Callithrix jacchus: one gene and its partner. The protein of the gene in region 1 interacts with the protein of each later gene in a pairwise test. Links are inferred from orthologs where the notes say so. Each region holds a gene or a part of one and is shown in the gene's direction. Other genes may lie near its edges.

Evidence for each region.
Region 2: the proteins of IPO13 (region 1) and PAX6 interact in a two-hybrid assay, tested with the Homo sapiens proteins (2 studies listed by BioGRID and IntAct). The link is inferred for Callithrix jacchus from reciprocal best matches to the Homo sapiens genes IPO13 and PAX6.

The regions. Positions count from the first base shown.
Region 1 is NC_133508.1:80,614,097-80,618,479, forward strand, and holds the start of IPO13 (importin-13), read left to right. Parts: upstream 1-1,474; 5' UTR 1,475-2,266; coding exon of another isoform or gene 2,267-2,350; intron 2,351-2,538; exon of another isoform or gene 2,539-3,895; 5' UTR 3,896-3,916; coding exon 3,917-4,383. UniProt on the Homo sapiens protein: Functions in nuclear protein import as nuclear transport receptor. Serves as receptor for nuclear localization signals (NLS) in cargo substrates.
Region 2 is NC_133511.1:97,170,911-97,174,718, reverse strand, and holds part of PAX6 (paired box protein Pax-6), read left to right. Parts: intron 1-2,478; coding exon 2,479-2,637; intron 2,638-3,124; coding exon 3,125-3,207; intron 3,208-3,430; coding exon 3,431-3,581; intron 3,582-3,686; coding exon 3,687-3,802; intron 3,803-3,808. UniProt on the Homo sapiens protein: Transcription factor with important functions in the development of the eye, nose, central nervous system and pancreas. Required for the differentiation of pancreatic islet alpha cells.

The DNA.
Region 1 (4,383 bases):
ATCTCCCCTGTGCACCGCCACCTCCACCAGTGAAACCCCCAGCCAGCACCAGGCTCAAGGTATTTCACACCCTAGGCACAGGCCTGGAATCAGTTACTTTATTTTGGCTTTCCTTTTCCTCCTTCCAAATGTCTCCTGCCTCTGTTTCTTCCTTCAATTTGTCTTTCATGTTGCAGACATATTTTTCTAAAATGCAAATGTAATCATCATTGCTCACTTGAAACCCCATCATGGTTTCATATTGCACTTAGAATAATGTCCAAACTCCTACAAGAATCTATTGCTACCAACTTGTCTTTCCAACCTCATCTCTGTTACTCATACCCTTCCCCTTCCCCACCACACATATATCCCCTTAAACTAAACATGAATTACTTGCTATTCTTTCTTGATGAAGATTTGCTGAATGACTTAAGAGTCCCACTGGATTTTGCTTACCAGCTAAATGAGCCCCTCTCCTCCCCAGGCTCTCTATTCTTCAAGCTCAGTTTTTTGAAGTTTCTTTTCTCAGGGAAGCCTTCGTGGTCCTTCTCAGGCCTCAGCAGCTACTGCCAATGCCAGCTTCCTCCATTCGAACACAACTACAGAGCTCTTTGCACTTTTAATTTTTTTCGTCTTCCCTGCTAGAGTAGGCAGGAGTTAATAAAAAGACAACTGGAGGGGTGAGGGGCAGGAGCTGCCGGGGCCTGTGGCAGACCAAATCTATGGCAGGGTCTGCCACCCTGTCTGTGTGCCGGGGCAAGATAAGCCTAACTTTCCCCAAGCTCGACTTCCTCATCTCATCTGAAAATGAATAAAAATACCCACTTAAGAGCTGTTAAGAAAACTGAACCTGAAGTATGCAAAGTCCTGCTCCTGGCACTTAAATGTAAGCTACTCTTATTCTAGTTACACATAAAGTTACTTCCAAAACCTTACGAAATTCCCCGAGCACTGTCCATGGTACGTGGTTTCCCGGTTGCTTATTGGGTGGTCCTGAGAGCTTTCCCTTTTTTCTTCCTAAGGCGTGCCAAGTCCCCTCTCCTCTCCTTTGGGTGATGCTGACGCCTTCTTCCCAGACTGCACCTTTGCTGGGCCGGAGGATGCCCCGCAGCGGAGCGCCAGAGTGACCAGGCAACCTCCCTAGTCCCCACCCTCTAGCCCGGACTCCCCCCTCCGTCCTCGGGTTCCTCCTCACGTCCTCCTACTAGGGAAGTAGGCCGCAGCGCCCCGCACCGGTCTGACCCTGAGTGCCTGCTGGTCGCGGTAGGCCGAGGACAGGCAGTGATCCGCAAGTCCCCAACCCACGTGCTCCGAGCCTCCTCCGCAGGGCTCCGCCTTCCGGTTAGGCGCAACACGGACTACATTTCCCAGGGTGCACAGCGGCGGGGCCTAGACTCGGCGGGGGCCTAGGGCGGCGCGCCGCTCCACCGCCTGCTCGGGGGCGCGCGGGCTGGCGCGAGGACAGGGCCACGGACCCGGAATGAGTTTCCGCGCAGTTCCGCTGGGTCGTGCCGGGCTGTGCCGGGCCGTGCCGAGCCAGGACAGGCGGGAGTGGGGGACTGAGTTGGCGGTGCCGGGGACAGGCGCTCGGGCAGCCCGCGCCTTGACGAGGTCCCTGCCCCGTCCCGGCCGGACTGGCTTGTCTGTCAGTCACTGGGGCGGAGGCAGCGGCGGTAGCTGGGCTGGCGCCGGGCGGTGAGCACAGCGCGGGCCAGGCCGAACGGAAAGACCTGCCACAGCCCCTCAACTCCACGGACTCTTCGCCCCAGACTCGCGAAGCTGTACCTCCGCGCTTCGTTGGACGCCTCCGTAACCACGAAGGGCTCTCTCCCCGGTGACCCTCCAGCCCCGTGACCTTTTCATAGCACCCGAGAGCTCACCCAGGCGGTGGTGTTGTGGGTTCAGGCCATCGACCCTGTGACCCCTCAAGATCCAGGGGCTCGGTTTCCCCCGCAGGCTTCCCTCCCCTCTGACTCCCTCCACACAGATTGTGGGGACAGAGCTGTGACCTACCACAAGGATCCCCGCCTGGGAGCTCCTCACTGACGGCCCCCTCCTCGGAGTCCCCCTCAGTGGGTCTCTCAAGAGCACCCCTTTTGGTCTCTGGCAAGCCCCTCACCCCCAGACGAGGTGGGGAGGCCTCGGCAGCCATGCCCGCCCTGGGGCCCCCCTCACCCCACCACTCCCTGGACATCCAAGCCGGGGTCTAGCAGGGGGCCAGCAGCCAAGGGGCTGGGGCAGGAGGCAGATCAGGGCCCACCTCCCTGCCAGGGAGGGAGCAAAGATGGAGCGGCGGGAGGAGCAGTCGGGGGCTGCAGGGGCTGGAGCAGCATCAGCCTTGGACTTCACTGTGGAGAACGTGGAGAAGGTATGAGGGCTCTGGGGTGGGCACTCCAGTGACAGAGCAGAAGTTCTGGGGACTGTCACTAATGCCAGCGCTCAGGCCTGGGCTGGCTGCCCGCTGGTATGGTGCCCCCAGAGCACCTGGCATTTGCTGTCTTTCTGGGCAGGCAGTATTGCAGTCCCCTAATGGGCTATTTTTGTCTTTCCTTACAGGCAGGTCCCCTGTGGACAGATACTCCAGGGTCTTGGGATGGTCCCTTCAGGGAGCTTATGACTTAGCCTTCCAGCCAGACTGGCTATTTTCCAGCTCCATGGGAACTGCATGAGCAGTGCAGTAGGAAACTGGGAACCCAGGAGACCTGCAGCTCAGTCTTCTGGAATTATACTGATGCCAAACCATCCTGGACCTGGTTTTATTGAGCCAAGGGCTCAGGAAATAATCTGGAACTAAAACAATCTGGGTTGTTTCTACTCTTTGGAGAAGGGTCCTTCCTTTATTGGATGGAAGCCAGACCAGTCCTGAGCAGGCAGGTGTGGGGCTGTCTCCTTTTGTTTTGTGCTGAGTCCAAGGGTCCTGGCCCTGTAAGGCTGGCAGCCTTACAGGGCTCTTCCCTACTCACCTGCCCACACAGCTCCCTGCCATGGCCCTCCCAAGCTCCCCCACTGCCCAGCCCATCTTTCTGAACTACCTTTTTGGTTCTTTTCTGTATCTGCTCCCTATAACCTGGAATGCAGGATTGCATGCACCCTGGGATGAATGGGAAGATGGGGCTCCCTTACTTGAAAGCAGGGCATGATTGCAGATGCTCACTTATTATTCTTGACTCCTGTTTGCCATAACAGACAATGAGGATGCATCTCTTCTGCCTGCTTTGGCATCCCTGAGGGGCCAAACAAGGGACAGTGGCCATAACTGACCGGCAGGGGTACAAATAGAGCTAAGCCTACTTGGATGGAGCCTGCTTAGGGGTCAGGGTCCTGGCCACACTCTCCCACCTCTTGGAGCAGGGCAGTGTTGGCATGGTGACGCGCTATTCCAGGTGCTACCGGGAGATAAATCTGTTTTCTTACTTCATGAAGTCCCATTGGAATTGAGGCCCTGGGGACTGTGCTAGTGGAAAGCATTAGGCCAGGTGTTTGCCAGGGCTGTAGCTATAGCCAAGGCTTCTCTGGATCAGTTGATTGGACCTTCACATGTGCCCTCTGAGGAGTGTTCTCACCGCCCCCACCCCACCCCACTCCAGCATGTCTCTGCCCCAGGGCTACTTGGCAAAAGTCTTAGTCCTGCTCTGATTTCACACTGGCTTTGATGCCAGCATCTGGAGTGACCTAGGGATGATCCTGGGGGAGCTGAAAGGAGCTGTTGGAGTTGATGGGAGCAGCTGTGCCTGGGAAGGTCAAGTCCCCTCAAGCTGTTCCATGCCCTTCTCAGGTCTAGCTTCATCCCTATGAAGCTGTTCTTTCCACCTAGGCCTTGGCCTCAAGTGCTTCCCCTTTGAGGGGATCAGCCTCCTCTTTTTTTTGCTTTCCTGTGGAGATTCTCTCTGAACCCATAATGTTTTGCTGTAAGGAGAAGAGGATATGGTAGAGCATGGGCAAGTTTCAGGCTCTCAAGATATCAGCAGGACCCAGGCCCAGGAAACAATGCAAGAGCCCTGAGCTCTCCCTGCTCAGCTCCCCAGTCAGGGAGAGGGAGCAGTCTTGCAGGACCAAGTCACGCCTCTGTTCTGGGCTCTGGCAGGATCCAGAGTGGCCAGCACCTGTTCAGTCCTGTGCTGTCCTGCAGGCGCTGCACCAGCTCTACTATGACCCCAACATTGAAAACAAGAACCTGGCTCAGAAGTGGCTGATGCAGGCCCAGGTCTCCCCACAGGCCTGGCACTTCAGCTGGCAGCTACTGCAGCCCGACAAGGTGCCAGAGATCCAGTACTTTGGGGCCAGTGCTCTTCACATCAAGATCTCTCGCTACTGGAGCGACATCCCAACTGACCAGTATGAAAGCCTAAAGGCACAGCTCTTTACCCAGATCACCCGCTTTGCCAGTGGCTCCAAGATTGT
Region 2 (3,808 bases), on another chromosome or scaffold:
AGGGGTCTTCGGAGGCAGATCCAGGCAACTTTGTTTAATTGGCGAGATCGAATGTGCCAGAAAACGGACTGAGGTGGGGCCCCTAGGATGGCAGAGGCATGAGTGACCATGGGGAGATGGGGATTGTGTTCTCCTCAGTGCCCGCTCCCCCCACGCCAGATGTGCATAGATGCACACATTTTTGTCCGTTTTCCAAAACCAATAACACTCCGGCCTTTCTAGTTGGCCCAAAGGAGCTATTTCCAGTCTTCCTTCTTCACCAAACCCGAAAATAAAGTGAGAGTGGGGGTGGTCGCTTCATTTTTTTCCCTTGAAAAACGCTTTGAATAGTCCCCCGGAAACTTAGGGCAGTAAATTAGCACAGATGCCTGTACCCGCACGCGTGAGTGGAGCGCGTCCTCTCCACTGAGTAGCCCTACCTCTCCGACCCCCACCTTTCTGATGGAGTGCAAAGACCCAGAGCCCAGCTGAGGCTCAGTTACTAATATTTTCTGTCCCTCATCTTCCATTTCCTCTCTCTCCCACTCTTGTACGGCCCTCCTGCCTCTTTTTCCTCTCAGCATTCTTTTCTGTCCTTTTTTCTTAGACCGTTCTGGCCTCTTCTGTTTTTTGAGCCCTCTTTTTTCCCTCCCTTGCCCTCCGCCCCTTCCCTCAACCCAGGCCCCCAATCCTTCCCCCTTGCCTCCACCCCCACCATTGGTTTCCATCCTGTCTCCCATCTCTCCAAAGTAGGAACCCCACCCTGGTCCCCATCCACCCTCCCTGCCTTCCCCCACGCCGGGCCCTGGCCCCCCATCCACCCTCCATGCCCCCAGCCAAGCGCCCTAAATAGCACGGAGGCGCCTGCTCTTCGGACAGTGATTAATGATAGCAGAGCAGAGGGGTTAACACACTTCACTGAAAAGTCTGTTGACTGGGCTCCTTGTAACACAATGTGGCCCGCTGCACGCCTCAAGAGAATCCTTTTGTTGTCCGAGCTCATTGTAGCCTCAAAATTCTGCCCACGAAAGTTTGCCAACGCTCCTGCCCCAGGAGTTTAATAGTTTCCCTTACTCGCAGGGCATTGTGCAGCGCTGAAAAGCAGCCCCTCGCTATTCAAGTGTTGGTGGTCATCTCAATAGATCTCCAAGGGCCCATATGGTGGCCAGTGCTGATGAATCTGCCTGTTTAAATGGGGGAGAAAGTTGGGGTTTTAAAACATTTCAAAGTTCCTGAAAAGGTCCCACTAGATCCTGTCACAATTCCCTGAACTCTTTGAAGGCTCAGCCTATTGTCTCCTGGTTATAAATAATATTCCTGGCCAAGTCGATTCCCACCAAGGCGCTCCTAGGGGCCCCTCCACCCCACCTCTTGCCAAGTTTTGAGGATGGGGGATAGTCCATGTTGGTATCACTTGGGGGCCTCAGGACCCCAGACCCACGACCCAGCACATAGTGGCCCTGGAGGCCCAGTCAGAGTTCAGGCAATCTTGATTCCCTTCACACAGGCTGTGGCCTTACAGGCAAGGTGCAAGGCAGCTAGCCCAAGTGCACATCTTGCCCTCCAGGCAGCAAGGGAAAACAATAAAACTTTCCCCGGTATAATGATAGAAATTACATTAAAAGTGGTGGAAATGCCCTAATTAAAAATGTACCACTTAAATGATATGCCAAAGATTCAGCTGCAGCATAGAATATTTAGTTAGTGAACTCTCTACCATTTCTTTTTTTAAATTACACGTTAAAAATTTAAAAGAAATCTTACTTTTCTCTGGTGCAATACATTACAAAGAATGGACAGTCCTTTTATCTAAATATAAAATTCCATTTTCAGCAATTATAGCCTGTTCTTGGTGATGATATAATTACAGCTGTGCTCGTAATAGGTGTCAAGGCGAAGCGCACTCATACAATAGTTGAATAAAACTGCAGAACAATGCGAGCACTTCTAAATTCACAACCTTTAAAATGAAATTGACTGTGCAGAATTCAAATAAAAACTAGATAAATATTTTTTTAAAAAGATTACAAGCTTGGTTTGGTTTCTTAATAGCATTTTCTACAAACCTATCAACATCTAATTGATTAGATGGGAATTACTGATTATAGATCAACTGAAATCCTGAATATCACTCTTCCGTTTTCCCAGCAGCCATAGGCAAAGACATTCTGTAGGGAACGGAGTGAGGCATTTGGGGACTCAGGGTTACTTACAAAAGATCATTTTAATTGGAAACTTCAGTGCTTATTTTTTCATTCAAGAAATGCTACTTAATGTGAGTATTATAAAGTCTCATCTTGATAAAAACAAAGAAAATGGTGGTCAGGTAATTAACATCACAAATGTCTTTTATTTAAAGAAGGCTGACAGTTACCTTGGGAATGTTTTGGTGAGGCTGTCGGAATATAATGCTCTTGGAGTTTAAGACTACATCAGGCCCCTTTTGGAGGCTCCAAGTTATTCCAAATTTCTCTTACCGTCCTATTCTTTTTGTTCCAGATGGCTGCCAGCAACAGGAAGGAGGGGGAGAGAACACCAACTCCATCAGTTCCAACGGAGAAGATTCAGATGAGGCTCAAATGCGACTTCAGCTGAAGCGGAAGCTGCAAAGAAATAGAACATCCTTTACCCAAGAGCAAATTGAGGCCCTGGAGAAAGGTGATGGAGTTTTTGAAAGTAGAGAAGCAGTAAATCAAAGTAAATGCCACATCTTCAGTACAAAGAGCTAAATTTAGCCAGGGCCCTTTGCATAGAGGACTGAAAAGGTTTCTTTTTTCTGTCTTTTTTTTTTCCTCTGGGCATCTCTTCTGTGGGTGTGTGTGTGTGTGTCTCTCTCTGTGTGTGTGTGTGTGTGTGTGTGTGTGTGTATGTGTGTGTGTATGTGGTTCTTTTCATGTACCAGTAATTCAAAGACCAGGCATCTGACTTATAAGAGAAACATGATGATTTGGCTATTTCAGGCCACAGAAAGGTCATTGAATGTCATTCCAAAGAAAATTTCACTTGGTACAGTCAACACTAGAAGCATTTTAAAGGGAATTGGTTGGAGGTGATGGGAGTGGGGAGGGGGAACCAGCTTGATCCAGTTTGGTCAACATATTTTGTGTAGTTCTGGCACAATGTGGAAAATCAACTTCTTTTTCAGAGTTTGAGAGAACCCATTATCCAGATGTGTTTGCCCGAGAAAGACTAGCGGCCAAAATAGATCTACCTGAAGCGAGAATACAGGTACCAAGGGACAGTGCAATTTCACACTTTGTGATTCATACCATTTGCCTTTCCTAGAGACAGAGGTGCTGGTACAGAGCACTGTTTATTTATAGGAATAATAACAGATTCAGTCTGCTAGATACTCTGCTGCCATGGGTGTGAGGAGGGCAGCAGCGGAGGTGTCAAGGTGGGGCTGGGCTTGACATAGGCACAGTGCTAACCTGTCCTATCTGATTTCCAGGTATGGTTTTCTAATCGAAGGGCCAAATGGAGAAGAGAAGAAAAACTGAGGAATCAGAGAAGACAGGCCAGCAACACACCTAGTCATATCCCTATCAGCAGTAGTTTCAGCACCAGTGTCTACCAACCAATCCCACAACCCACCACACCGGGTAATTCGAAATACGAATATATCAAATACCAATATAATCAGTGTGTTAAACCTGTGTCCGGGCTCCGACTCTCACCCTGACTGCTGTCGTTTCTCCTGTCCTCAGTTTCCTCCTTCACATCTGGCTCCATGTTGGGCCGAACAGACACAGCCCTCACAAATACCTACAGCGCTCTGCCACCCATGCCCAGCTTCACCATGGCAAATAACCTGCCTATGCAAGTAAGT